4 linked regions of the Saccharomyces cerevisiae S288C genome follow. The gene in region 1 interacts genetically with each later gene. Each region holds a gene or a part of one and is shown in the gene's direction. Other genes may lie near its edges.

The links.
Region 2: mutations in STR2 (region 1) and COX23 together harm fitness more than expected from each alone (negative genetic interaction), as found in Saccharomyces cerevisiae (2 studies listed by BioGRID).
Region 3: mutations in STR2 (region 1) and MRX21 together harm fitness more than expected from each alone (negative genetic interaction), as found in Saccharomyces cerevisiae (2 studies listed by BioGRID).
Region 4: mutations in STR2 (region 1) and MCH1 together harm fitness more than expected from each alone (negative genetic interaction), as found in Saccharomyces cerevisiae (2 studies listed by BioGRID).

Annotation. Positions count from the first base shown.
Region 1 is NC_001142.9:660,583-668,752, reverse strand, and holds STR2 (cystathionine gamma-synthase), read left to right. Parts: upstream 1-1,615; coding exon 1,616-3,535; downstream 3,536-8,170. Other genes in the region: MNS1 (mannosyl-oligosaccharide 1,2-alpha-mannosidase), read right to left, coding at 1-1,109; EFM3 (protein-lysine N-methyltransferase), read left to right, coding at 3,734-4,753; YJR128W (uncharacterized protein), read right to left, coding at 5,473-5,832; RSF2 (Rsf2p), read left to right, coding at 5,694-8,170. UniProt on the Saccharomyces cerevisiae protein: Catalyzes the formation of L-cystathionine from O-succinyl-L-homoserine (OSHS) and L-cysteine, via a gamma-replacement reaction. In the absence of thiol, catalyzes gamma-elimination to form 2-oxobutanoate, succinate and ammonia.
Region 2 is NC_001140.6:339,861-346,755, forward strand, and holds COX23 (Cox23p), read left to right. Parts: upstream 1-1,804; coding exon 1,805-2,260; downstream 2,261-6,895. Other genes in the region: BZZ1 (Bzz1p), read left to right, coding at 1-124; ubiquitin-conjugating protein DMA1, read right to left, coding at 249-1,499; protein channel TOM71, read left to right, coding at 2,489-4,408; ORC6 (origin recognition complex subunit 6), read right to left, coding at 4,461-5,768; histone methyltransferase SET1, read left to right, coding at 6,183-6,895. UniProt on the Saccharomyces cerevisiae protein: Required for the assembly of cytochrome c oxidase.
Region 3 is NC_001148.4:580,891-588,358, reverse strand, and holds MRX21 (Mrx21p), read left to right. Parts: upstream 1-4,316; coding exon 4,317-5,297; downstream 5,298-7,468. Other genes in the region: YPR014C (uncharacterized protein), read left to right, coding at 841-1,170; CMR3 (Cmr3p), read left to right, coding at 2,774-3,727; MRA1 (Mra1p), read left to right, coding at 5,625-5,657, 5,801-5,986; DNA-directed RNA polymerase I core subunit RPA135, read left to right, coding at 7,163-7,468.
Region 4 is NC_001136.10:357,031-365,094, reverse strand, and holds MCH1 (Mch1p), read left to right. Parts: upstream 1-3,809; coding exon 3,810-5,270; downstream 5,271-8,064. Other genes in the region: KNH1 (Knh1p), read left to right, coding at 1-27; tRNA maturation protein LHP1, read right to left, coding at 316-1,143; 1-acylglycerol-3-phosphate O-acyltransferase SLC1, read left to right, coding at 1,512-2,423; PBP4 (Pbp4p), read left to right, coding at 2,839-3,396. UniProt on the Saccharomyces cerevisiae protein: Probable transporter. Does not act in the transport of monocarboxylic acids across the plasma membrane.

The DNA of each region.
Region 1 (8,170 bases):
TCAAGGGAAAGAGAGAAAAACGGACGTCTTCGGGCTTCATGAATAGAAAGGCCCTCAGTAGAGCCTGATGCTAACAATCCCCCCATAAAGCACACGAGGTGGTCCATCTTAGGAGAAAGTTGTCCATGTAGACCTTGTTCTCTTTCCCCAATGTACCACAGAGAAGAGGGTTTGGATTGTGCTAATAAATGCTTTTTCATACCTTCCATGGATTTTCTGTACAGATCATAATAAAGTGTTTCGTGCGTCAATAAATATTGTTTTAGTAAATACTCATAAAAAGAATCACCTCTTGATCCGAACCGGATAGTCGAAGCACCAAACTTCCCAGTATCTGGAAATGTATAAATTGGAACCAATCCATCGTAGGTATTTAGAAGATCGTTATTTTTGTATAATGGCTCGTAAACACGCTCCACCAGCTCCCAATAAGTACGATTTCCTGTCAAATACGCCAGATATTTGAATTCCATTTGTAGCGTAGTGAATTCTGCGGTAGAAGATGCCCCCCCATCTGCATGGTTCTTAACCGCTTGGCCACTATGAAGGTTTATACTTGAGTATGGAATTCCGGTCTGAGTGGATAAGAACGCCAAAGCAAGCCTATCCCCCAAATCTATTGCTTTGTTCAAGTAGACAGTCTTATTACCTACTTCTAAAACATCAGATAGATGATATGCGGATAATAAACCACCTAGCATTCTAATAGTAGTTTCAAAAACATTCACTTCGGCATCAATATCAAAATCCAAAACATCGTTTATCCAATGCTCCGATCTCTGAATTTCTGCCTCGAACTCACTTTTGTATAGTGTGGAGGAGTTATACATTAACATCAAGGTATCCACTGAATCTACGATAATCCAGCCTAACGGCTGGTTGCCACGAGGCATATTATGGGAAGTGTGCTCAATAGGTCCATACACATCGTATCCCCAGCCATGCTTGGAATAGTCTCTCCACGATTCCAAGAACATGCTTTCAATCCGATCTCTCATTTCTCCGGCCCCCGGTGACTTTCTCTCAAAGTGTTCGTACCATGGCACATAGTATATAGCTGCTATGATAGCAACAATGGTTGCAATTGAAATACCGACAGAGTTCTTCATAGAATCCTTTTTCAATGTTTAACCTTTTCCTCTTTTACTACCTTTTTCTGTCGTCTTTCGTTTCTTGGCAAAGCACATTTCTTTCATTCTTTCGTTTGGCGAAACTGAAAATTCCAAATAATTGCTCTTCCACAGAAAATGCGTTACAACCAAAGTGAATTTGTAAAAGTTTAACCCCACATTTTGCTACAGTCTTATTTAAAAATAGCAGTATTCATATTAAAATATCTTGCGGTTTAAGAACTCAATTAACTTCAATGATTGCCAGTGTTGTTCAGGTAAAACCCTTCAAACCTAGTAAATATGACTTATCTTCATGCGTGGATGTAAAAAACAAAAATCATGATAGCGCCTCTGCACTTCACAATATCTCGGTCTAAAAATTAGTCATATATTTTGGATATATATATATATATATACCCATATATATAACGATAGTAGAATGACGCTCATGTGCCGATTCGGGACCTACATAAACAAGAGAGAGAAGAGGAACAGAAGAAAAAATGATATCTAGAACCATTGGTGAATCTATTCCGCCCAACACAAAACATGCTGTTTCCGTGTGTTTGCCCACATGGGAAGCTACAGTAGGCTATGAAGAGGGTGAAAGCAGTATAATTAACTCGCTTACTACCGGATATCCAAGATTTTTCATACACAAGTCAATAAAGAAATTATGTGAAATTTTATCCGCTAAGTACTCCATGGAAGATGAAGCTTGTCTTTGCTTCCCCTCTTACAAGGTTGCCAATAGGTGCAGAGAGTTTATCAAAGTGAAAACGGGTCTTTCTACCAAAGTACGCATCTTACAACTATGTACACCTAAACCTATGAACCAAGAGGAAAAGCTCTGGAGAAGGGAATGTAAAATCACGGTGGTGTTTGTAGACCAGGAAATATTCCCCGTGATGAAGCAGTATTGGCAACATTCTGGTGAGATTGTATCTAGCAGAATGGCGGAGTATATTTTACATGAATTACAAGTCAAGGATAATCTTAAGAAGATGGAAACAGTGGATAACGGTAAAAAATTTATGACCGAAGATGAAAACAGAGTGAACGAAGAATATATAGAAACGAGATTTGGGAGAAATTTAAATTTTCTTGCTGCTGATAAAGCCAAATATCTAATACGAAAGAGGATTGCCACAAAAGTTGTTGAAAAAATTGACTCTGAAGGTCTATCGGACCTATTCTCTTTTGAACACTATAACGAGAGCAACGGTCCATTCAATGTTGGCAGTGGAGAGGCTCTGGATGATGATCAGTTGAATTCGGACATACCTGCCGAAACAATTACTTCTATGGGAGAAAGTGGCTCAAACAGTACTTTTGAAAACACAGCTACCGATGACTTGAAGTTTCATGTCAACCCTAATACGGATGTTTACTTATTTCCAAGTGGAATGGCGTCCATTTTCACTGCCCACAGGCTGCTTTTAAACTTCGATGCCAAGCGCTTATCAAGGTCTTCTAGTAGACAAGATAAGTTGATTGGATATGGACCTCCGTTCAAGAAGACCGTCATGTTTGGATTCCCATATACAGATACTCTGAGCATTCTTCGGAAGTTCAATCACACACATTTCTTGGGACAGGGAGATTCAACGTCAATGAACGCTCTGAAAAATATTTTACATTCTGGTGAGCAAATACTGGCGGTATTTATAGAAGCTCCATCGAACCCACTGTTGAAAATGGGAGATTTACAAGAACTGAAAAGGCTATCAGACTTGTATTCATTTTACATAGTGGTCGATGAAACTGTGGGTGGCTTTGTCAATATAGATGTATTACCGTATGCCGATATTGTTTGTAGTTCGCTAACGAAAATCTTCAGCGGCGACTCGAACGTTATTGCAGGATCCTTAGTACTAAATCCTAGAGGAAAGATTTATGAGTTTGCTAGAAAATTTATGAAGACTGAAGACGGATATGAAGATTGCCTATGGTGCGAAGATGCGTTATGCCTGGAAAGAAATTCGAGAGACTTCGTGGAACGTACAATCAAGGTGAATACAAACACTGATATATTGTTAAAAAGGGTGTTATTGCCTCAGGTGGGAAAATTGTTCAAGAAAATATATTACCCCAGTTTAACATCAGAGGATACCAAGCGGAATTATGACAGCGTTATGTCTACAAAAGATGGTGGGTATGGAGGTTTATTTTCACTAACTTTTTTCAATATTGAAGAGGCAAAGAAGTTTTTCAATAATCTGGAATTGTGCAAAGGACCTTCTCTCGGTACGAATTTCACTTTGGCGTGTCCATATGCTATTATTGCCCACTACCAGGAATTAGACGAGGTAGCTCAATATGGTGTCGAAACAAATCTTGTAAGAGTGAGCGTCGGTTTGGAAAATAGCGACGTTTTATGCAATGTTTTTCAGCGTGCCATTGAGAAAGCTTTAGGGGAATAAAGCCAAAATGTTTATATGTATTAGAAAACTCTGTAGAAAATTTTAATGCTGATTGTCCGGACACGACAAACAGCGAAATAAATACTAGCAGTTAGTACATCATCGCAAAAATGATGAAGAATGTATAAGTAAATGAAAAAGGAAAAGAAAGCAGAAAAATCGAGCTAGTAAAACTTGACCCTCCTCGTCAAAGATAACATGAATGAAGATCTATTCTACGATAGATTACATCAGCGGTGCCCTGGAAAATACTTGCTAGAAGAGTTGGAAACAAGCAAATCTAACGATGTCCTGCATGCATCGAGATTTGTTTGTGAGATGGAACTTGTGCAAAAGACGAATGCATATTATTGCAAAACCATAGTCAAGATGCTCTTAGACCACGAATGGATTTTCGCGAAGGCATTCACAATTGTCAACGATGGCGAAGACGAGATAGAGATATATGATTATCTCTATGAGAAGTACATAAAACTATTAAGCACAGGCAAGCCAGACCCGATGATGAAAGACGTCGTGAGGTACAGGTTTGACGAGGACGTAAAGATCAAAATTGAGGAAACACCGAATTTGATCAGTGCGGCCAGTACTACAGGTTTCAGGACATGGGAAGCTGCCTTATACATGGGTGATTTCCTTATTCATAAGCCCTTACAAGAGTTGGCACCGGTACAAGGACAAGACGATGGCAAGAAAAAATTAAATGTTCTTGAGGTCGGCGCTGGCACAGGCATAGTGAGTCTCGTCATTTTACAAAAGTATCACGAGTTCGTAAATAAGATGTACGTCACGGATGGTGATTCGAATCTCGTTGAGACGCAGCTGAAAAGAAATTTTGAATTGAACAATGAAGTGCGTGAGAACGAACCAGACATCAAGTTGCAAAGATTATGGTGGGGCAGCGATAGAGTTCCTGAGGATATAGATTTAGTAGTGGGGGCAGATGTTACGTATGACCCAACTATCCTTCCTGATCTATGCGAGTGTCTGGCCGAATGTCTTGCTTTAGACCGATGCAAACTGTGTCTCCTATCCGCGACAATTAGAAGCGAATCCACTGTCCAACTGTTTTCTCAAGAGTGCAATAAACTCGGGCTAAAATGTACCATAGTCACCAGCACAGAGTACGACGCAAACAACGAGATCCGCGCGATGAAAGCCCTGCAATTCAAACCTTTGATTGCACCCATACGGATCTACAAGATCACGAAACAATAAGATACATGTGCAAGTACAAGTTCAAAAATAAAACATAACTAAAAAAAAAAAGAAAAAAAATATAGTCATCTTCTGACACTCGAGTCTCATTCAGCTAATCAAAACAACTAGCAATCCACTCGAGTTCTTATAAATGACCCGGAAATTGATCTCTCCACATTACGCTTATCACGAATAAGACCGAGTGTTCAAATAAATAGCTCGATCTTCGTACTGTCTAATGCGGTGGATTAGTACTTTAGGACAAAGTTACTTTTTTTCGGAAGGAAACTTCAAAAATAGAATTAACAAATAAGAAGGAAAAGCGAAAAACAAATCTCATTGCCTGTGCTTTCTTTTATACTTTTTTTTTTCGCTCGGAACCTCTTGCTTATACACGGTTTTTTTCCACGGAAACCTCGGTTACCCTTCAATTACTGGAACGTTAGGGCACAATCTAACAAATATATATACTGGCTTACAAGATGTAACAAACTACGAATAGTGGTACGAAGCTTATCACATGCACCATTATCTGTAACTGGGTTGCCGCCAACAGCAGACTCATGGGCTGGTTGAAAAAATCTTGGAAAACAGAGATAAACAGCTCGGCAGATAACATTTCCTGCGACCTTAATGCTGCGTTAGGTGTAATTGTCGCAATTTGCGGCCGGCCATAGTTGTTCGTGCTACAATATATGGAAGAAGCAACTGTTTTTGAATCAACGGTAGTAACGACCTTATATCATCATACACGAAAATACGCACAGACGGGGGTGAACCACTCCAGGGGCAGAGTAGAGTGTACAAGGAAAATTGTGATCTCGCCGCACGGTGCTGCATCGCGGAAATTCTCCGTAGGGCAACGGATAAGGTAACTGCGTATGCGGCATCGACAATAGGTAACTACGCGAGCAACTTCTATTAAGAGAAATAATTTTTGGGAAATGGCCTGTTTCGGATGGAACCGTTCGCATTTGGACGAGGGGCGCCTGCATTATGCATACTAACCGCGGCCGCTCGAATAAATCTGGACAATTTTGTTCCGTGTTGCTGGGCACTTTTCCGTCTGTCTTTCTTTTTCCCGCTTGACCCTGCATATATTAGAAACGAAAACAAAGAAACAAGGACTTCTTGGATTTCCATAGAGTTTTTTTTCTTCGTTAAACATTGCCTCTCTCAACACACGTTTTTCTCGAAGACTCTTGCACCAAAAAGAAACTTTAGGGCGAAGAAGCTAAAAGACATTGGCGATACTAGAATAGATAGGGCAGATAAAGATTTTTTATTAGTGCCGGAGCCAAGTATGTTTGTGAACGGTAATCAATCTAATTTCGCTAAGCCCGCTGGTCAAGGTATTCTGCCCATTCCTAAAAAATCTCGAATTATTAAGACTGATAAGCCAAGACCGTTCTTGTGTCCCACATGCACTAGGGGTTTTGTCAGGCAGGAGCATTTGAAGAGACATCAGCATTCGCATACCCGTGAGAAACCGTATCTTTGTATCTTTTGCGGTAGGTGTTTTGCTCGTAGAGATTTAGTGCTCAGGCATCAGCAAAAACTTCATGCTGCTCTTGTAGGTACGGGGGATCCACGGCGAATGACGCCAGCACCAAATTCGACTTCTTCTTTTGCCTCCAAGCGGCGCCATTCCGTGGCGGCGGATGATCCAACCGACCTTCATATCATTAAAATAGCCGGAAATAAAGAGACTATTCTACCCACCCCGAAGAACCTTGCTGGTAAGACATCTGAAGAATTGAAAGAGGCCGTGGTTGCCTTGGCCAAATCAAATAATGTAGAACTTCCCGTCTCGGCCCCAGTAATGAACGATAAGCGAGAGAAAACTCCTCCTAGTAAGGCAGGCTCCCTAGGATTTCGAGAGTTCAAGTTCAGCACGAAAGGCGTGCCAGTTCACTCTGCATCAAGCGATGCTGTTATCGACAGGGCGAACACTCCCTCTTCCATGCATAAGACGAAAAGACATGCGTCTTTCTCTGCATCCAGTGCAATGACTTACATGTCTAGTAGCAATAGCCCCCACCATTCAATTACCAATTTCGAGCTCGTTGAAGACGCTCCGCATCAAGTCGGCTTTTCTACTCCACAAATGACCGCGAAGCAGCTCATGGAAAGCGTGTCAGAATTGGATTTACCTCCGTTAACCCTGGACGAACCACCGCAAGCTATCAAGTTTAACTTAAATCTATTTAACAATGACCCCTCCGGACAGCAACAACAACAACAACAACAACAGCAAAATTCCACCTCTAGTACCATAGTGAACAGCAACAATGGAAGTACAGTTGCTACACCTGGAGTGTATCTCTTAAGTAGCGGTCCATCTTTAACCGATCTTTTGACAATGAACTCTGCACATGCAGGTGCGGGAGGATACATGTCTAGCCACCATTCGCCATTTGATTTGGGCTGCTTCAGTCATGATAAACCGACAGTTTCTGAATTTAACCTTCCGTCAAGCTTCCCGAATACTATACCGTCTAATTCTACTACGGCTTCTAATAGTTACAGTAATTTGGCAAATCAAACTTATAGGCAAATGAGCAATGAGCAGCCGCTTATGTCACTATCTCCTAAAAACCCACCAACAACTGTTTCAGATTCCTCTTCCACGATCAATTTCAATCCAGGCACAAATAATTTACTGGAACCATCAATGGAGCCCAATGATAAGGATAGTAATATCGATCCTGCTGCCATAGATGACAAGTGGTTATCAGAGTTTATTAACAACTCTGATCCAAAATCTACCTTCAAGATCAACTTCAATCATTTCAATGACATTGGGTTTATTTATTCTCCACCTTCATCAAGGTCATCTATACCAAACAAGTCACCTCCAAACCATTCTGCTACCTCATTAAATCATGAAAAAGCTTCTTTATCACCTCGCTTAAACTTGAGTTTGAATGGAAGCACAGATTTACCAAGTACACCACAAAACCAACTAAAGGAGCCTTCCTATTCTGACCCTATTTCCCATAGTTCTCATAAGAGGCGTCGTGATAGCGTCATGATGGACTACGATCTATCCAATTTTTTCAGCTCAAGGCAATTGGATATTTCCAAGGTATTAAACGGGACAGAGCAAAATAATTCTCATGTGAACGACGATGTTCTCACTTTGTCTTTCCCCGGCGAAACTGATTCTAATGCAACACAGAAACAGCTGCCTGTTCTTACTCCTTCGGATTTGTTATCTCCGTTTTCTGTCCCTTCAGTATCTCAAGTGCTTTTTACCAATGAGCTAAGGAGTATGATGCTAGCCGACAATAATATCGATTCAGGAGCCTTCCCCACAACTAGTCAATTGAACGATTATGTGACTTACTATAAGGAAGAATTCCATCCATTTTTTTCATTTATTCATCTTCCTTCTATCATACCTAATATGGACAGTTATCCCTTGTTATTATC
Region 2 (6,895 bases), on another chromosome or scaffold:
TGATGAGATTTCAATTGATCCGGGGGACATAATTACTGTTATCAGAGGCGATGACGGTAGCGGGTGGACATATGGTGAATGTGACGGATTGAAAGGTCTATTTCCTACAAGTTACTGTAAATGAACGAAGGAATGAACTGAAACTATTAAATATTTTCCCTGGCCGCCACTTTTTTGAGAGGTATGACGACTCTATGTTATATATATATATATATATATATATATATATAGCACAAAATTTCATGTGATCAATCTACTAGGCGAACACCTAAATTGTTATTTATTTCCATGTCTATATCCATTTCAATGTCTGGCTCATCTTCGTCCTCGTTTTCGAATTCGGATTCAGATTCGGATTCCAAGGTAGTCTCCAAATCACAGTTTGTCCTACAGTTCGGACACATGAATTGAGGATAATTCATAATAACCAATCTTCTTACACAATGAAAATGCCAACTATGGGCACATGGTGATATAAAAATGGCTTGGCAAGGTTTTATTTTGTTTAGACAAATGGAACAGTCTTCTTGTTCTAAACCAGTAGTTAGTTTCTGTAGATTTTTTATTCGGCTCAAGGCTTCTTTATTAAATGCATTGGCCTTTAATTTCCAAGACTTGTTCAATTCTATTTTCATCTTAACACAACGATATATCTCTTCCGTCCCGCCGCGAAAGTCCATACCCAGCTGTATGATATCTCCGTCATGTAAAAGGTAGTCCTTAGAAGTGGTAGACGCAGAAGATAGACGCTGGTGGTTCAAAAAGGTCCCACTGGAAGACTTGACATCTTTCAAAAACCAGTTTCCTTGGTCATCAACTTTGAAACACCCATGGGTCCTGGATATCACTTTTGATTTGAACACTACGGGATGATACTGATCTGGAATTTTGGAAATTGCCTCTCTTACTCTTTCGGTGTATCTTCCGATGATAATTTGCGAGCCTGCGCCCGCAGTCCTGATAATGGGGTCAAAGAAAAGACCCTGGTTAGCCACAGACGTGGATGAAGTATCTATAAACGGGGTTAGCCTAATGCTGAAAAGCCCGTGCTTGTCCATTCTGCGTTTCAAAGTAGATTGGTCTATCCGTTCCGGTAGCGAGGTATTTGGTGGGAGATGTATATCAAGTGAAAACTCCGTCTGATTGACTTGGTTTGGAGGATATATGAAATGGCGGATACTCTTTGTAGTGTTCACCGCGGGGGCTGTATTCGTCTCCACAGTGGCAGCAGCAGCAGCAGTAGCACCAACATTGCCGTTTGCGCTACCGTTATTTGCAACGACTAAAGAAGTAGCCGTACGCGAGGGCAAAATACCTAAACCATTGCTAACGCTATTATTATTGCTGTTATTGTTAGGCGTATCGTTAATGGTGAGAGAGATGGATATCGGTAGTCTGATGGGATTGTTGAACTTGGTGTGATCGTGAGAGGTAGCGATGCCAGAAGCAGCAGGTGGCGTCTGGTTTGGGGGAGATGAGGGAACAGTATTAGTAGACATCCAGGAATAACCACTATACAGAACGTATGTGCACAGGAAATCGACACTGTAAGAAGAAAAGCTCACGGCACAAGAGTCAGAAACAGGGCAGTGAACAAAGAACGAGAAGTACGGTTTACAGTTGAGCCGTACACCGAGTTCCTCTTTGAATAATATCGAACCTATACACTAATGCACTAATGTGTTTCTGTTCACACCCAGAATTCTAAGGCTCCTGCTGATCCCAATGCTAAGGTTTATCAATTTTCTCATTCTCTTTGTGGGCCGTAAACAGTGATATTCTCTCACGAGAGCGCTTAAAGAGAATGGAGAAGCCCAGCCCCACCAGGCGGCAAACTAGTAGTCTCTCCACTATCTCCAACGGTATGACCATGACCAACGATAATAGGGATACCACAAATACCAACAGTGGCTCTACAAGCAGCAACAATTCACAACCATCTTCGTCTTCCACGCCACCAGCGGCCAGTGGACCCGTAACGGACAGAACCAAAGTCAACTATGTACCAAAGAGCGACGATCCGTCGTCATTTCAATACTACCCAGACGACCCGGAGAACCCGGTCAATAAGTATAAATTCGCGTTAAAGGCTGACAGTCAGTACTATGATCCTTGTGAGGAGTCCTCCAAGCTCAGTTTTCAGTGCCTCGAGCGCAACGATTACGACCGATCCAAGTGCCAAGAATATTTTGACGCATACCGCGAATGCAAGAAACAATGGCTGACAGCCAGGAGGAAAAACAGACAGCAGTGGGAATGAGGCAGCCTTTTCTTCTTGTTTGTTCAGCTGTGATCTGTTTTCTATATAGATCGCCACTACGCGACGTAGTGTTCCGACAGGCAGCCACAGCACACTCTAGTGCAATGTGAAAAACTAATTCGCAATGGTATGTAAATAAGCAAGCTAAATTGGATTTTCAAAGTGCGAATAAAGAATTTTTTGTATATATCTCTACATACTTGTATATACCGAACATAAGAAGCTCTTATGGCCGAAAACTCCCTCCTGAGGTTTATCACCAAGAACAAAGTGGCCATCCTAGCAACGGTCTCTGCGGGGACTGCTGCTGTGGGTGCTTATGTTTACTACCAGCAAATTAAGCAGCAGCAACAGCAGCAATTGAAGGGTACAAAAGACAACCGACGTCAAAGTGAGGCCTTTGCTGGTCAAAATGAAGACGAGGCGGACTTAAAGGACGACGGCAGCGTCGTAAGTGGAAGTAATAAGAGGAAGAAGAAGAAGAATAAACGCAAGAGGAACAATAAGGCAAAATCGGGAGAAGGGTTTGACTATCCCTCCTTGCCCAATGGCGAGCCTGATATTGCCCAATTGAAAGGCCTATCACCCTCCCAGAGACAAGCGTATGCCGTGCAACTGAAGAACAGAGGTAACCACTTCTTCACTGCTAAGAATTTTAATGAGGCCATCAAATACTACCAGTATGCCATTGAGCTGGACCCGAATGAACCAGTGTTCTATTCCAACATATCTGCTTGTTACATTTCTACGGGCGACTTAGAGAAGGTTATAGAGTTCACTACAAAGGCACTTGAGATAAAACCTGACCATTCTAAAGCCTTGCTGAGACGTGCATCTGCCAACGAGTCACTGGGCAACTTCACTGATGCTATGTTTGATCTATCTGTTTTGTCATTGAATGGTGACTTTGATGGAGCCTCCATTGAACCTATGCTGGAAAGAAATTTAAATAAGCAAGCAATGAAAGTACTAAATGAAAACCTATCGAAGGATGAAGGCAGAGGCTCGCAGGTTTTGCCGTCTAACACATCTCTGGCGTCATTTTTTGGGATTTTTGACTCTCACTTAGAAGTTTCTAGTGTGAACACCAGTTCAAACTACGATACTGCATACGCTCTATTGTCAGATGCTTTGCAAAGACTATATTCTGCAACAGATGAAGGTTACTTAGTAGCAAACGATCTTTTAACAAAGTCCACTGACATGTACCACTCTCTACTTTCTGCAAATACAGTGGACGATCCTTTAAGAGAGAATGCTGCCTTGGCATTGTGCTACACGGGTATTTTCCATTTCTTAAAAAATAACCTGTTAGATGCCCAAGTTCTTTTACAAGAATCTATAAACCTGCATCCAACACCAAATTCGTACATATTTTTGGCATTGACCTTGGCCGATAAAGAAAACTCTCAAGAATTTTTCAAATTTTTCCAAAAAGCTGTTGATCTAAACCCTGAGTATCCGCCAACCTATTACCACCGTGGGCAGATGTATTTTATTCTACAAGATTATAAAAATGCCAAGGAAGATTTCCAAAAGGCCCAAAGCTTGAACCCTGAAAATGTTTATCCCTACATTCAATTAGCCTGTTTGTTGTACAAGCAAGGTAAATTTACCGAATCTGAAGCTTTTTTCAATGAAACAAAGTTGAAGTTTCCTACCTTACCTGAGGTGCCCACCTTTTTCGCTGAAATCTTGACAGATAGGGGCGATTTTGATACTGCAATTAAACAATATGATATTGCTAAAAGGTTGGAAGAAGTGCAAGAAAAAATACATGTGGGTATAGGACCCTTGATTGGGAAAGCAACTATATTAGCTAGACAATCCTCTCAAGATCCAACCCAGTTGGATGAAGAGAAATTCAACGCAGCCATTAAGCTGCTGACAAAAGCCTGTGAATTAGATCCACGATCTGAACAAGCGAAGATCGGGTTAGCACAACTAAAATTACAAATGGAAAAAATTGACGAGGCCATAGAATTGTTTGAAGATTCTGCAATTTTAGCAAGAACTATGGATGAAAAACTTCAAGCTACTACCTTCGCGGAAGCTGCAAAGATACAAAAGCGTTTGAGGGCTGATCCAATCATAAGTGCAAAGATGGAGCTAACATTAGCTCGTTATAGGGCTAAAGGCATGCTTTAGAAGATATGTCAGGTATTGGTCAAATATATACTTTTAGTTAATACTGGATATGTTATAAAGGTTCTGTTAATGCCAAATCCATTTCAATTCTTTTCTTCCAAATATTGTACTGGTCGTCTGTGACCAAAATATTGGTGGTTTGTAACATCGATCCCAGTTTCCTAAATATAATTTCATCGTATCTGATGCCATCAAAATCATCATACCTAATTTGCAAATCTCTGAACCATTTTTCACCGATAATTAATTCCTTCACTAATTTTACACATTCAATAACATCATCCACTTTTGACGTCAACATCAAGCTGCACATCTTACTGACTATAAAATGGTCAATTCTTGGATCCTTGCGTCTTCTTTCATTAAATACAATGAATGTACAATTTAATACTAACCCACACACTAATTGCCATGGGCAAACCAATCTTGACGCGTTTATGTTGTACTCATCCACAATTTTATATGCTACTTCTCTTGGTAATTCAAAATCGTTGCAAAGCCGTATTATTTCTTCAGTAGTCATTTTGCAATACTTCTTTACTAACAAAGAATTTGGTATTCTGCCCCTTTTCCTCAGGGCTTTTGCCGTCTTCAATTCTGATTGCGGTTTTCCAACTGCCTTATTTTGTTTCGTTCTCCCGCTTCTGCTTTCTTGCACACCTAATGGCTCTTCCTCACTTGTAGGGTCACTTTCATGGTTTTCATACTCATCAGAATCTACATTTCTGGTTCCAGTAATGCTCTTATTACTATGGCTTTTTAAAGACAAACCGTCGTTTCCTGGTTCCTCTTCATCCTCATCCTCATCCTCTTCAAATGCTAACTTTCTCCTAGTAATAGACGGCGATTCATTGGTTTGCATGGGGGGTAGTTCTGGTATTACGAACGAATCATTATTTTGGCTTTTCCTAACTTTAGTTGGTGTACCAAACAGTTGATTCCTCAACTCTTTCGGATCAGAAGAAGTAAACCTCCCACCGTTCTTTACTGGACTGCGTTTGTTCTTTTTGGGGCTCGGTGTCCAAGCAAATTGTTTCATAGGTGAAGAATTAGATAAACTTTGTCTGAAAAGGTTCATTAAATGCTTGGCTTTTTTCGGCTCCAAGGGAATACTGTCTATATAATAGCAAAGGTCAGGCATGTGTTTTTCATTCATTTTCTGTGACGCTATGTATGCACATATGTGACATCTAGCAACCTCTTCATCTTGTTTCAGCATTACCTTGTTCAGTGAAGTATTATATAAAATCGATGTCGCATTAGTCAACTTCTTCAAATATCCGCTCGACCAGTCCGGTTTTTCTTGTGGATCTAGTCGAAGTACTTCTGCGACACAATGTTGGACTTGTTGCATGGACATGACTGGTTTTAATGGTATTGTTTTGGCCAATTTTATTTACTGATATTGTACACTTTTTTCTGCAATTTTAGTGTGAGATTTTTTTTTTCAATGCCGATTTCTTACTAACGTAAACAACGGCAAAGAACAAAGAAATACACAGTTTTATCACAAAGAGTTGATTTTTGCTGAAGAGAAGCGTGAGGAGTGTATTCGAAAGCCTTGCATATTCTGGACACTTGCGATTCTAGCTCTTTACGGACGCCCGCATTCTTTTTTCATACTCTGTTTCGTGCTGCTTTCACACAATATTTTTCAAAAGTTTCTTCTCATCGTTTTTCTGTTAGCAACCCTCAACTTACGAGAGAGTTGCGACTAGCATAGGTAACATTCCTTATTTGTTGAATCTTTATAAGAGGTCTCTGCGTTTAGAGAATGTCAAATTACTATAGAAGAGCACACGCGTCTTCTGGTTCATACAGACAACCCCAGGAACAGCCTCAATATTCGCGTTCTGGTCACTATCAGTATTCAAACGGCCATTCTCACCAACAATATTCTAGTCAATATAATCAACGTCGACGTTATAACCATAATGATGGTACAAGGCGACGCTATAATGACGATCGCCCACATAGTTCAAACAATGCAAGTACGCGACAGTACTATGCTACTAACAACAGCCAAAGCGGCCCATATGTAAATAAGAAATCTGACATCAGTAGTCGGAGGGGCATGTCTCAATCACGGTATTCAAATAGCAATGTTCACAATACATTAGCGTCTTCGAGTGGATCTCTTCCCACAGAATCTGCTCTGCTTTTGCAACAAAGACCACCTTCAGTTTTGAGATACAACACAGATAATTTGAAGTCTAAGTTTCATTATTTTGATCCCATAAAAGGCGAGTTCTTCAATAAGGATAAGATGCTTTCGTGGAAGGCTACAGATAAAGAATTTTCTGAAACAGGTTATTACGTAGTCAAAGAGTTACAAGATGGACAGTTTAAGTTCAAAATAAAACACAGACATCCGGAGATAAAAGCATCCGACCCACGTAATGAAAACGGTATCATGACTAGCGGAAAAGTGGCAACCCACAGAAAATGCAGGAACTCACTAATTCTATTGCCTCGCATATCTTATGA
Region 3 (7,468 bases), on another chromosome or scaffold:
TATAGAAATTGTAGCCTGTCTTCAACTGCTGTCCTCGGCTTTTGACTTGCCTAAGTATATGCCGCAATGGGCGATAAGCGGGAGTGTCGGTCAGATCTGTGGTAAAAAAAAGATAGCAATAAAAAATTATGAATTTAAACAGTAGTCTTGAATTTAAACAAGTGATCTTGACTTGAATACTTCCATCAATGAGTCGCTAAAATGAAAATGGCTGCACAATCTCCTCCGCATATCTTAAAAGGCAGCAATTAGCCAGTTGATCACCCTACATTTCCACAGAAACGAAAAAGTGTAATAGTTATTTTTGCGGCCAATATCGTAAGCTCTAGCGGTGCCTTAGCTTTATGATTGTTGCAAGAAAGTTTGCCTTTTTGACTCTCCTTCAGGTGTCAGTATTAACAAACGGCGTTGAATGTTTAAGTTATTATTTTATTCATCAAATCGACTTGGATACTTTCTCGGTGATGTCGCTAATTGGATTATACCATTAAGGTTGTCACCAGTGTAAAAATTTTGCATCGGTACTTGCAACTACGTGTGAAGGTCAAGTTACTCAACGCAAAGAAACGTTAACATTTTTACAAATTTTAGCTGCAGTACTATGTTTTAAGTAATCCAAAGGGAACTATTTGTTATATCCCAGAATTATTTACATTCGTTTCTTAGTTTCATAAACAATGAATACCTATTGAATGGATAGAAATTCTGACTTGATTTTACGAGTTATTATTGCTGACATTAGTCCAAAGACATCTCAGTTTTGTTTCCTCTACAACCCAATGAGGAGGCTAGCCAGGGCTGTCGCCCAAAAAAATAGCCAATAAAGCGGCAACTTTCTGTATGTCTTGCATTTTTTCCGCTGACTTGGGAGTAGAGTACAGCTGCGCGGAGTCGCGTATTACAAATCTTGTACTTTGCATTCTGTGCATACGTGAGGAAAAAGCAGCACCTGTTGTGAAAAAAGATAAATTTCTTTTTTTCATTTTTCTATCCTCAAAGGAAAATCTTTTCTGCGAAATTTCTAGCCGCTCTTCAGTTTCCGAAGTAAAGTCGCTGAGGGCGAAAAACAACTTTATTTGCCCACACGCTGTTATAGGCTTCCAGGGAGCAAAAGCGCAATTGGGAATAAGGTTTCCTCAATTGAATGGTTTGCTTCGCCTACAGCATTAACCAGAAGGTAATTTGATCTCTTGTATGTCCGCTAACAGATCTTGTCCATTAATTGTTTATTTTCTTCAGGTAGGCTGAGCCCACTTTGTAGTAGCTCCCTACCATTACTTTTGGCCTTGTAGTTATTGGCTTTGATTTTTTCTTTCTATGACAATCCCGTTGAGCAACCTTGCGAAGGGCTCTTTTTGAAAAAAAGGCGTGGGCAAGATCTCTGTATCCCTTTCTCGGTTTTTTCTTCCCATTCAACAGTAATTGAGTGTCGCTATTTTGACTTACCTCAGTGCCTATTATTAGCATAAGAAATGACCCACATAGTCTGAACTCTAAATAAACCCGAATTAGGAATCAAGTACATTTCATATCCGCTAGGTTTGACAATCCTCCGTAGATAACCTTAATGATACAATGGAAAGGTTATTTTTTATTATTGTCATAGAAGTTGTTACGTGAGCAATATAACACGACGTGAATAGTACGCATACATCTTGTTGTATCGGAAACTTAAAATGCTCATAGATTTTTTGCAGCTTATATTGGTTCTTGTCTCCGTAGGAAACAACGTAATGTAGCCGATAATTTTTTTTTTTTTCGCTCGTAGGCTCTTCAGTAGATACTACTACATAATCACTGTTGTACGCACCTACTATTCTTCCAGGTAACAGTACTACAAAGGGTCTGAGACTGTGCAGTAAACCGATACGCTACAAAATTTCCTTTTCAGCTTTTGCCTGTGATGCATAGCCGCAATGTCAGAGCAAATGGAAATGAAAAGGAGGGCCTTCAAGATTGAAAAAAAGCCCGATTGGAAAATCTTCCGACACGAGGTGCAGTCAAGTACTCATAAACGATACATGTGAAAATCAATCCATATACATCGCGTACGCTCCGTACCTAAAAGTATATCTGGGTTTTGCAGCAATCTTGAGAACAATCAGGTGAGAGATGCCGTTTCTCGGGGTTAAAGAATAAAATGACGGCGATCCCTCTTCTCAGGATCGGGACTATCTCATATAGGAAATATCCTTACGGGAGCATTCCACCTTGAGCTACGAGTGATTGCCATTTACGGTGGGAAATAAGGTTTTCAGTGGATACTGGTTTTGAGGGCAGATCAAGACGATCTGTTTTTTAACTTCCGCTTTAATTCTGCGTATTATTCTGTACAAGAAACTCAAACAACAACAAAAAACAAGATAAAGAATGATGCATCAGGTTCCCGACTTATGTCCCTAAAGTTTCATAAGTAAGAAACCCGCGCGAGAACGTCATTTGAACTACCTTACAGATCTGCAGGTGGCCCGGAAAGGGCAGTCGTGTGCCTTCATCATTATTGTTGTATTCTCTGTGCCTTCTTTTTTTCCTTACTTACTATTTTGCTATATATGTGACTACTACATGTTGATGTTTCAAAATACCTCTTTTATATGCCTGTCAGGGTTTGACAAGTTGAACGAAAGATACAATTGTTAGCTTTTTATTGTTCTATGGCTTCACAATAATTCCTCAAACATTAGTATACTTTTAGTTTTGAGCTTCTTAGTTATAACACAAGTTCATCACCTACCTTCGAAAAATAGCAGTAAACGCCACTAAAGTAAATTACATGAATTTTTCCCTTTCAAAGCAAAGTTCAGAAAAACAATCATCATATACAGACAAGTCAAGATCTCCTAATATAGGAATGTGTACAGTCAATTATAAATCGAACCTCCCCCTTCAAGTGTCCGCAGTTGATCAGCTGAGCACTGGTAAGGGGACTCAATTTTATGGCCACAATAGCTACAAAAATGAACGGGAATGTTATAATAGTACGAAAATAAACTTACCACCAATTTCATCCCTTTTGCCTAATTTTGAAAATAATACACCACCTAACGTAGATTCAAGGGTTCAATTCCCTCCACAGCAAGTTTATCAAAGCATGAATGTTGTACCCATTGTTAATGAGATCTACACCCCAATTTCCATGAACGCAACATCTGATCAATATCCTATCTACTATACGGAAAGTCAGCAACCAATACCACATAGCCAGTCTCCTCATTTGACCTCCTCTGCTCCCTTGATGATGCCAGTCATGGTCCCAACAGTATATAAACCATTGACACCATACGACAAAGAACCAATAACAATTGCCTCCGAACCTAACTTCACTGCAATATCAATGGCGAGTCACCCAAACGCTGCCTTAGAGCTATGCCACGATAGGCCAAAATCAGTCCCACCTGGGTATGGCGTACTTCCAACCATGCAGGAAGCCAGTAACGGCAGAACAAAAAGCGAACCTGGTGCCGTGTTGAACGGTTCAGCAACATTTTCTGATTGGAAAACTGACACCCGAATATCATCCACAAAGCTGAGAAAGCAGTGCCCAGTATGTGGAAAAATTTGTTCGAGGCCCTCAACGCTGAAGACACATTACTTAATTCATACGGGAGATACTCCTTTCAAATGTACTTGGGAGGGTTGCACAAAATCCTTCAATGTGAAAAGCAATATGCTGAGACATTTGAAAAGCCATGAAAGGAAAAGAAACAAAGTCTTAAACACTACATAGAAACAATAGGAACGGAAAGCTTTATTGCAATGGAATTTTTAGAACTCATATTCAAAGGTAAGGCAAAACTATGTATAGACTCTAATAGAATGTTTTACGGACTTTAGAAGCAAGGGAATAAAACTAATTAAGCGCAAGTCACCTTCTTTGTTAGTGTTCTTCCCAGTTTTATATAACGGGAGTGCGTCTTCAAGTTTACTTGGACGCACAAAGACGTTTTTATGTTTATGTATTATTTCGTAAATATATGAGAGGCAAAGAAGATGGATGATGATATAATATGCAAGGGAAAATGCGTAGTTGAGGTATTGGGAAAGTTCCATGTGATCACTTGATGCAAGCCGTGCATTATTTATCAGCAGATCTATTTTCACTTTTCAATTTTTTTCAGGTTGACCCTTCAATATTTTTTTACCTCTTTTTCTAGATATATTTGCAGGGTACTCTCGATGTCCGCAGTTCGTCAAAATGATTATGATTGCCAGTAAGGCCAAGTGAATTTAACAAAGGTGAGGGAAGTATACCAAGTTGCTCGTTTCCTTGTTTCATAGTATTGACTTTCAAATTTTTTAATCGTTATTTCGCTAACATGGCAGAAGTACTGACCGTCCTCGAGCAGCCGAACTCAATTAAAGATTTTCTCAAGCAGGATTCAAATATTGCGTTTCTAGCTGGTGGAGTAGCTGGCGCGGTTTCCCGAACCGTTGTTTCACCTTTTGAGAGAGTTAAAATACTGCTGCAAGTTCAAAGTTCAACCACTTCTTATAACCGAGGTATCTTTAGCTCTATACGGCAGGTTTACCATGAGGAGGGAACCAAAGGTTTATTCAGAGGAAATGGTTTGAACTGCATAAGAATTTTTCCCTATAGTGCAGTCCAGTTTGTAGTATACGAAGCTTGTAAGAAAAAGTTATTCCATGTAAATGGCAATAATGGACAAGAACAACTAACGAACACCCAAAGACTATTCAGTGGTGCATTGTGTGGTGGTTGTAGTGTGGTGGCTACTTACCCGTTGGACTTGATCAAAACAAGACTATCGATTCAGACAGCAAATTTGAGCAGTTTAAACCGCTCAAAGGCAAAAAGTATATCAAAGCCTCCGGGGATCTGGCAATTACTAAGCGAAACTTACAGACTCGAAGGCGGTCTCAGGGGATTATATAGGGGTGTATGGCCAACGAGTCTTGGTGTTGTTCCATATGTAGCACTAAACTTTGCAGTTTACGAACAATTGAGAGAATTCGGTGTCAATTCCTCCGATGCTCAGCCTTCCTGGAAAAGTAACCTCTATAAATTAACAATTGGCGCCATAAGTGGAGGGGTTGCGCAAACAATCACTTATCCCTTTGATCTGCTAAGAAGAAGATTTCAAGTTCTCGCAATGGGCGGAAATGAACTGGGATTTAGATACACGAGTGTCTGGGATGCGCTCGTGACAATCGGCAGAGCAGAAGGCGTTAGCGGTTACTACAAAGGCTTAGCTGCAAACCTTTTTAAAGTTGTTCCTTCAACTGCAGTGAGTTGGCTAGTTTACGAAGTTGTATGTGATTCTGTAAGAAATTGGTGAGCTTGAGGTGACAGGCTTGGGTCAGCGAAAACCAAGTAATGACGCGATCCCTCCGCTGAAGAACGACATCCTGTATATAGCATTAACTTGTCTATTTTTCTTTATATCGGTCTTGCAGTATGGGCCAATCATATCGTACAAAGCGGGGGATTTCCCGTACTTTATGATGAGCATGAGAACAGACTTTAAAGGCATCGCCATCTCCTCAAAAGCAACTATAACTCTTCCCATACCAGTATAAGCTAACTTTGTTTTGAGACTTATTTAATTTTGGTAGTTTCCTGAACGACTTCTGACAATACTTTAAAAAAAGAAAAATATAGAAAAATGAGACCAGCACAGTTACTGTTGAATACAGCTGTATGTTAAGGGATATTTTCTTTTTATTGTGACAAACGGATAATCATGCGTTCATTCTGACTTGATGCTTTCTAAGAAAACAATTATGTTGATTATGAATGCTAACTACAAGATTATAGAGTATTATACTAACAAAAAACTAGAAAAAAACATCTGGTGGCTACAAAATACCCGTCGAATTAACACCGTTATTTCTCGCTGTTGGTGTAGCTTTATGCTCTGGGACATACTTCACATATAAGAAATTAAGAACTGACGAGACTTTGAGATTGACAGGTAACCCAGAATTATCTAGTTTAGATGAAGTCCTTGCCAAAGATAAGGATTAAAAACCATGTTGATGATTTGTTATATTAATATCTACACTTAAAACATTTTCAATAATTGTCGGGAACAAATCGAAATATTATTTATTCTTCAAATATGACAAAACTAATGTATATTATATACATGTCAACACCACCATGACTATATGTTTAATTGATGTATAATCATTCCATTTTTACACGTGCTCTTTCTTGGCAGCGGTTAAGGGAACCTGATGATAGACCATGCAATAAAAAAGAAAGCCCTGTAGGGGGCTCGAACCCCTAACCTTATGATTAAGAGTCATACGCGCTACCGATTGCGCCAACAAGGCTCTTTTGTTGAAATAAAAAACCGAAACATCTTTATCTAACGAATATTTGGAAGGTGAACCTAACGATAAAATACTACACTATTCATATTGACTGACTGTATCAACGACGTTTAACAGCGATTATCTGCTTATCTCAATATGTGGTTAGCGATTACTTGTTCAAGTCGTTGCTTTACGTTTCTTTTGCAGTTTGATTGTTGCCTTCTCGAGGACAAATCAGTTTCAATGACGATAGAGGTTAGCAAAATTACTATATTAGTGAATTAGTAACGGAGACAAAAAGATTTGTTTAACGGCTTCTTTGTAGTCATCCTGCTGTTGTTTTTGTATGTTTAAGCTTCTTCCTCCGATTAAGTTTTGTACATTTACTTCTGTAAGTTAAAGGGCTCTTTTCTCATTATATTTCAAATGCTAAATCATGCCATGAAAACTTCAAAAAAGCATCAAATGAAGGAAGACGCTGATGACATCGAGTGATGAAATTATTCATAAATCTGCATCAGAGTGTTATATCTACAGAAGCAGACATGCTACAAGAGTTCAAAGCACTTAATGGCATTTCTAATAGATTCTCAGCGCCCTTTTGAGTCTCTGCACTACCACTTAATTATCATACCGCAGAAGCGGCCTCTCGGCCTCCCTTCATGCTATAATCGCTAATGACGGAAATTATTATTGAGATTACTCTTGCGAGTGTTTTTTTTTTTTTTTTTTTTTTTTTTTCGTATGAAAAATTTTTCAAGCGCATCTTAGAGACTCATCTCATCTCTTAATTATTCAAACTTACTTCAGCTGTCTCGTAATATTCAAGCAAGTCTTCCTCAAGAATATTGACAAATAAACGTAGAATTACGCATTTGGTGAGATGAGCAAAGTGATTAAGCCGCCTGGCCAAGCCAGAACTGCTGATTTCCGTACCTTAGAACGTGAATCTAGGTTCATCAATCCACCTAAGGATAAATCAGCATTTCCACTATTACAGGAAGCTGTTCAACCTCATATTGGGTCTTTTAACGCATTAACAGAAGGTCCGGATGGAGGTTTGTTAAATCTTGGTGTTAAAGACATCGGTGAAAAAGTTATATTTGATGGAAAACCACTCAATTCTGAAGACGAAATATCCAACAGCGGATACCTCGGGAATAAGCTTTCTGTTAGTGTGGAACAAGTG
Region 4 (8,064 bases), on another chromosome or scaffold:
AAAGTTAATGCTTTGAGGCACAGATAATGAAATAATACAAAAAAAAAATTTATGAAAATGGACAAATCGATTTATTATATTCGTTAACATTTTTTCTGCTTAATTATTGTTATTCTATTTTTTTTTTTTTTTAAATGGATGAGCTGTATTCCATTTTAACCAGTAACGGTAATTTTTAATACTAATAAAAAAAGGAGACAAATAATATAGTATTAGTTGTAATTCATATTGTGTTTCTGTTTAGTACATATGTTAGTACATATATTCTTAATATGCTATGATAATGAGATACGAGAACCAGAAGAAACACAAGAATCACTCCTTGTGCTCCTCATCGTCATCGGCAATGGCAGAAGAGTCCTCTTTTGACTCTTCCTTGCCGTTTTTCTTCTTATTTTTGGGGAATTTAGGCAAGTTTTTCTTCTTATGGCCGTTAAAGGATCTTGATCTACCGCTGAAGTTTTTGGACTTCGAGGCCTCTCTCTGTAAATCAAACTGTTTTTTCGTCAAAACACTCAGTTTCTTACCTTCATATGACAAAATTTCGTTGGACTCATCGTCATTGGAATACGATTTCAAAAAAGCTTCACATTCTGGAATTGTCTTAAATTCCACCAAGACCGTACCATTAAATTTCTTGTTTCTGTGATCTCTTCTCAAACGCACTTGGTTGATTTCACCTAATTTTTTGAAAAAGGCTTCCAAGTTCTCCTGCAATTCAGGAATTTGGGAAGCTTCAACGTCCTCATGTGGGAAATTCATTACAGCCAAAGTCCGTTGGTTTTGCTCAATTCTGGCATTTCTGGCAGCAGTTAGGTCCAAAGGAACACGTCTCTTGACGTTCTCTCCATCAGCAGATACTTCCAAAATTTCAGAACTACGTAGTGCTTCGATAACCTTATCCACTGGTCTATATTTCTTCATACGGTTGAATGTGGCGATGGTGCTGATGGGGACCCATCCATCGTTTTTTTCCGCTGTTGTGCGCAAGAACCTGTCATATGGAAAGTTGAATTCAGAAAAGTAGAATTCCACTTGCTTTAAACATCTGTCCAAGACTTCTGGAGTAAATTCAATCACAGCAAATGAATTACGTCTTGATTGTGGTTTCTCTTGCTCCTCTTGTTGTGGTTTTTCAGACATTACTTCTTTGCAGATGCTACTTTAGTTCCAGTAGAACCAAATAGAACCCATTTTTTGGAAAAAGAAAAAAATACATCATAGCGATGAGATGCGACTCTGTGCTTTTGATTTGGTTGTAATTCAAAAATCTTGAGATATTGCGATGAGGTTGGGCTGAACACATTACACTAAGACGAAGACGAAAATTTTTTCACGGTCACGAGATGGATCTCGTGAATGATGATATCAATTATGCTTCCTTTGTTTTGTTGAGAATATGGTATGGTGTTCAAAATACTTATATTAGGAAGGGTTTAAGGTGAAGGGGGAATTCTTCAATAGAGAAGTTTAGTGGTTTCCCTCCGTCAGTGAATTCGAGCAAAAAAATAATGAGTGTGATAGGTAGGTTCTTGTATTACTTGAGGTCCGTGTTGGTCGTACTGGCGCTTGCAGGCTGTGGCTTTTACGGTGTAATCGCCTCTATCCTTTGCACGTTAATCGGTAAGCAACATTTGGCTCAGTGGATTACTGCGCGTTGTTTTTACCATGTCATGAAATTGATGCTTGGCCTTGACGTCAAGGTCGTTGGCGAGGAGAATTTGGCCAAGAAGCCATATATTATGATTGCCAATCACCAATCCACCTTGGATATCTTCATGTTAGGTAGGATTTTCCCCCCTGGTTGCACAGTTACTGCCAAGAAGTCTTTGAAATACGTCCCCTTTCTGGGTTGGTTCATGGCTTTGAGTGGTACATATTTCTTAGACAGATCTAAAAGGCAAGAAGCCATTGACACCTTGAATAAAGGTTTAGAAAATGTTAAGAAAAACAAGCGTGCTCTATGGGTTTTTCCTGAGGGTACCAGGTCTTACACGAGTGAGCTGACAATGTTGCCTTTCAAGAAGGGTGCTTTCCATTTGGCACAACAGGGTAAGATCCCCATTGTTCCAGTGGTTGTTTCCAATACCAGTACTTTAGTAAGTCCTAAATATGGGGTCTTCAACAGAGGCTGTATGATTGTTAGAATTTTAAAACCTATTTCAACCGAGAACTTAACAAAGGACAAAATTGGTGAATTTGCTGAAAAAGTTAGAGATCAAATGGTTGACACTTTGAAGGAGATTGGCTACTCTCCCGCCATCAACGATACAACCCTCCCACCACAAGCTATTGAGTATGCCGCTCTTCAACATGACAAGAAAGTGAACAAGAAAATCAAGAATGAGCCTGTGCCTTCTGTCAGCATTAGCAACGATGTCAATACCCATAACGAAGGTTCATCTGTAAAAAAGATGCATTAAGCCACCACCACATTTTTAGAGTAGTATATAGACCCAAAAACTGTAATTATCTTTTTAAAAAAGTAAAATGACTTACGAATGATTCTGATGATTTTATTTATTACGACTCATATACCCAGCGTAAGAAGTGATCAATAGACCGCTACTTTATTCGGAGAAAGAGAAAAGAACTTTCCATTGTAATGTATATATAACACCAGGCATGTGTCAAAAATGTGAGACTAAATAGAAAGAAAAATACGAGGAACAACAAATAATACGATCTTGTGCATATTTTTTCCCTTTTTTTTTTTAATTCTTTTTTTCTGAAATTTTTCATTTGTTCACTGTTTAATATCTATCCATTTTTGTTTCCGAATTTTCATTAACTTTATTACTTATTTACGATACAATTTTCCCTTTAATCTAGTACGAAATGACAACAACCTCAACAACCAGTGTAGATGGCAGAACCTCCTCGACTTTGAAGGCTACTTTATCTGCTTCAGGTCCAAATTCAAATGGTCCAACGCCCGCTGTGCTTCCTCAGAAGCCAAAATTAACAGGTTGGGCGCAGGCAGCTGCCAAAGCCCTTCCAAGGCAACAGCAACAGCAACAGCAGGCACGAAAAGATGATTCCGTGGCTGTACAACCTGCTAATACGAAGACTAAAACCATCGCATCTACCGCGCCGCCTGCTAATATAAAGGGTAGTTCCACCGCCAATGGATCATCCACAAATAAGAAATTTAAAAGAGCGAATAAACAACCTTACAATAGAGAAGAAGTTAGATCGTATATGCACAAATTATTTCAGAGCTATACCGCTGGTGAAAAAAGTCATTCAATGAAAACTTATAAGCAAGTACTATCAGAAACGGCAAGTGGCAGAGTTTCAACAGCCACTGACTGGGGTACTGTATCAAGCAGTAAAAATAAGAATAAAAAATACGGCTGTTTGTCCGATATTGCTAAAGTTTTAAGAAACCAATGAGAATATCGAAGCATCACGTTTCATAACGCAAAAAGGAGTCAAACAAAAAATGAAGTATGAAGTCAAGAAAACGAAGAAAAGAGGAAAATAGAAGAAATGAAAATATTATTTTACAAGCGTAAATAAAAATTTTATAATTCATAATGTCGAAAAATGTATACTGTGTTAAGACGCCTTTCTTTGCTTTTTCTCTTAGTCTTTATTGCATAGTTCACTTAGCCTTTCCGATGCTAGCGGCTTTTCGCATCGTTCGGAAATTAGTACCTTTCTTTTTGCCCTACAAGAAAAACTATTATACAGTGTAAATACAAGATAACAGAGACCGCTACTCAGACAGCAACTTCTAACGTTTCATCGAGACTAGTTTCCTTTCATATCATTTTATAGCAATAACCATTTTCCAAGTGCAAATCATGCCTCTATCAAAGGTGGAGCACTACCTTTCATACCATACGCGCTTACTCTTACCCCATGTTTTGTCTCTTCAGTCATCACATCGTGTTGCATACATCTTTTCGCTATTATCTGCGGTGTCAACTGGCTTCATTACTTTGATATCTCTTTACTCTCAACCGTGGCAGAAACATTTAAATTATTCCTCATGGCAAATCAACACCATCGCTAGTATGACTAATTTGGGGATGTACTTGACGCCACCAATCTTGGGGATGATCGCTGATTCTCATGGCCCCATTACTTTAAGTCTTTTAGCCATCATAGGGTTCATACCTAGCTATTCATATCTGGCTTACGTTTTTAATCATCCGGAGTTATCTCTCGGAGGAAATGGTGACTCATCATTCAATCTATCCATCATTTGTTTCGTTTTCATAGGTATATCAACAAGCGCTTTATACTTTAGCGCTTTACTGACATGCACTAAGCTATATCCTCATACAAAACTACTATCCATTAGCTTACCAACGACATGTTATGGTATTTCTTCTGTAGTCGGTTCTCAACTGCTAAGAATCAAATGGTTCTGGTCCTCTAACGCAAGTTCTTCCTCGTCCAATAGTGACTTAAACCTGGGAAGAGTATTCCAAACATTTGCCCTCGTTTATGTCGTTATTGGGCTACTTGCATGGATAGCCACCAGCGTGGTATCACTTTTGCATTTTAATGAAGAGCAAGACAACCAAAAACGGCTGGATGATCAAACTGATGTGGAACAATCACCGCTGTTAGAACGAAGTAATCATGTTCAAGAAAAGTTTACGCAGACGATGCTAAGGATCTTTAGTGATCCTGTGACATATATCCTAGCGGTATCAATTTTGTTATCACTTGGGCCCCTCGAGATGTTTATTGCCAATATGGGATCACTGACTAACCTGCTAGTCCAATTAGATGCGCCAACCTTATCTACAAAGTTGTTATCCACATACGCGCTATCTTCCACTTTTACGAGATTGCTCACAGGCATAGTGGCAGACTTCTTCGCCAAGAAAAAAATATCAATTAAATGGATCCTGTTGACTTTCCTTTCATTAGGGGTATGTGCACAACTGTTTTTATTGAAAATGACCTCTTCAGCGTCACCCTGGGGGCTAGTACCTACAGGATCATTGGTTGGAATTGTATACGGTGGACTTTTCACTGTTTATCCGACGCTGGTCCTGTTAGTATGGGGCGAACGCTCATTCGGGACTGTTTACGGTAGCTTACTAATTGCACCTGCTATAGGTTCTATGATATTTTGCATGTTGTATGCCAAATTTTACGATTCTCGCTGTATGAGTGGCGGAGGAGATCTGCGAAATCCGTCCTGTATTTCGGCTGTCTACAAGTACAGCAGTATCGCATTCGTTGTATCCGCTGTTCTTTCAGCTGTAGTATTTTGGAAATTAAAAAGTAGAAAACTCAGAATTTAAACAAAAAAGAAACTGCTACATTTATTTTTTTTAAAATTCATAGCTTATATAAATGACACCAATAAATTGCACTTATTTCTTTTATGCTATGCTATTGTTTTTGATACCCTTTTAAAGGTACCGGTTAAAAATTGAGAGAAAAAAAGAAAGAACTCCTCATAGGGGGCTCGAACCCCTGACATTTCGGTATCCTTGCTTAAGCAAATGCGCTTAAAAGCCGAACGCTCTACCAACTGAGCTAACAAGGATGAGTTCTTCGGAGAATCCTGGACATAAATTTGTCCATGTTATTTTAAAGTTTTATCAGATTTGCACTGGTCTTTACCGTTCCAACACTTTGTACATGTTGATAATAAGAATAAAATATCATCCATCGACTGCTATTCTTCATATCAATTGTACATTATCATATATGATGTAAGGTGATTGGGAAACAGTCATCAGATCTTATGGAAAATAAAATGTGAAGATTCATAATATGATAGGGTAATGAATGGCAACATATAAACGAATAAGAAAATCCGCTTCTAAAAAGAACGGAATTCACCAAGTATCCCAACATTGACCCATTTCTTATGCTTACATATTGTTATTTTTTGCCCCTGTCTTAGTAGCAGAGCTTTCGTCACATGTTCAACTAAATTCCAAACAGTTGAACTTTTTGTTCTACTGATCTTGTAATTCATGCTTCCTTCTATGCAACACGCCATACTAATTTAGTAGAATGAACAGTAACTGGTGAACGATGACTCTGTAGTAGAATACTATAAAAAGGTGGCATCGTATAAAGGTGCCTTCTTTGACCCTTGGCAGGTAGGGCGGCAACGGCACAATGATATTTTATTTAACAAAAAGATACGCTAACACCGCATCTGAACACGTAATACTACTATATGACTTGGAACAAATGGCTAATCAATAATCACATATGTTCGACCGCTGCAGGAAAAGAGAAAAGAAAGCAGTTTCTACAAGCAAGAACTTGGAAATACAGACAAACCTCCAGTACTTTATTAGGATTGTCCATTCCTCACCCAGATATGTTAAATTCGATACCAATGTGTTTTGATTCACGCGCAGAAAGAAGGACTTTCCCTGCTCTGCTCGGCAAAAACATACACGTTGTCGACCGAGCACGACTGCCGTTGTCGAAGCCACCACTGTCACTTCTCGTTTAATATCTTTAATCGCATCATCTATAGTTCCTAATTCTGCATTCCTAACACTGTAGCCTATCCAGCAAAATCATTCCCATTTTCTCTTTATATGTGCCTAGATTTTAAAATTTTGCTTAAGATGATTTACATTGAGGGGGGAAACTTGCTTTATCCGCTCCTCCAATTGATTCAAGAAGTATGGGCGCTGACCTACCATCTCAATTTCTTGTTTCACTCGAGAATTGTCACTGAGATAGTAAATGTCTAGAGAATCCTTTGCAACAGGAGATTTCAAATTTATATTCTTTGTGTTCGCATTCGCTTCCCGTCTGTTACTCGTTCCCTTACCATTCTATTATGCATTGCAGATCTGCCAAGTAAAAAAAAAAATACCTTGGTGTACACACCACCCATACATTATCTGACAAGGAAACAAAAGTAATGACAGTAAATTGAAGAACTTGTGATGAGCCAAAAAGAAGAATGTGTGCACTTCTTTTCGTATTTTTATGGTAAAGCCAGTTGGTGGCTTTCTTTGACGATATGAAACCCAGGATCCCATGCTGCCTATGTTGCATTTATGTAATTGTCTGTATGAAGCTCGCATTTTAGAGTTACTACTATGTGCTTTCTATGCAGTTGCTTGCCGCAGCCAAGACGTAGAGATTTCTTAGACGTGCTTTTTATTTCTTATGAAAGTAAAGAGTGTGTATACAACGAACTATGTTAATAATTAGTAGTACCAGAACATTGACTTTCGTAAGGACCAAACGGCATCCCTATCTCGGAAGAACACCACATGATGCAAGTTCTCCTGCCTACGAATAGTTCGTCAGGTGCCAGCACTGAGACCACCCAAACTAAAGGCAATCGAAAACTATACCACGTTTATCGTTATGTTTCGGCGGCTCACCTTGTATCAACCTGCTTGGCAAGCTGCTCTGCGAGGCTCCATTTTTTTACATTTTCAAGAGGAGTACATTTCACCTTAAAAAACGGCACGGAGAAAGCCTAAACTTGGTTGCATATACGCAATTACAAATCTTTTATAACTACTTCTGATTCTGTGCACGACGTGCCACCCGGTACAGTTCAAAGGTCACTATACGCACTGTCGATCGAGCCAACCCAACCCACAGAACATCCTAAAGCTTCAAATCGAAACGCGTACAGTCAGCATTCTTCATGCTGCACCCGATCCTTCTTACCGCGTGCTGGGTGAAAAGCAAGACTAAGAGCAAGACCCTTGGATAACGGCACCAAATGGACTACTTTCGTCCTTTCCTGCAACTCTGACTATAGCTTTTTCTATCATTGCCTAAACCAAACCGTCCACGCCACCTCACCAGCAACGCACAGCATGAAGAACGCGAAAACAGAAAAAAAAAACGCCAAAAGAAACGGCCACCGTGTACTTGCTGGCCAGCTAGAAATGCCTCGGGAGCCACCACGTTTATTTTTATCTCAATCTCTGAAAAACTTTTTTTTCTTTGTTTTTGTCGTTTTTCAGCATGAACAGCGCAGCAATAAACAAACAAACAAACAAACAGACGAACAGACACAGAACCACAGCTGACCGGTAGTAAAGTAAGCTGGTGGTTTCTCGCTTTGTTTTCTTTTTTTCCTTGCCTCGTGGC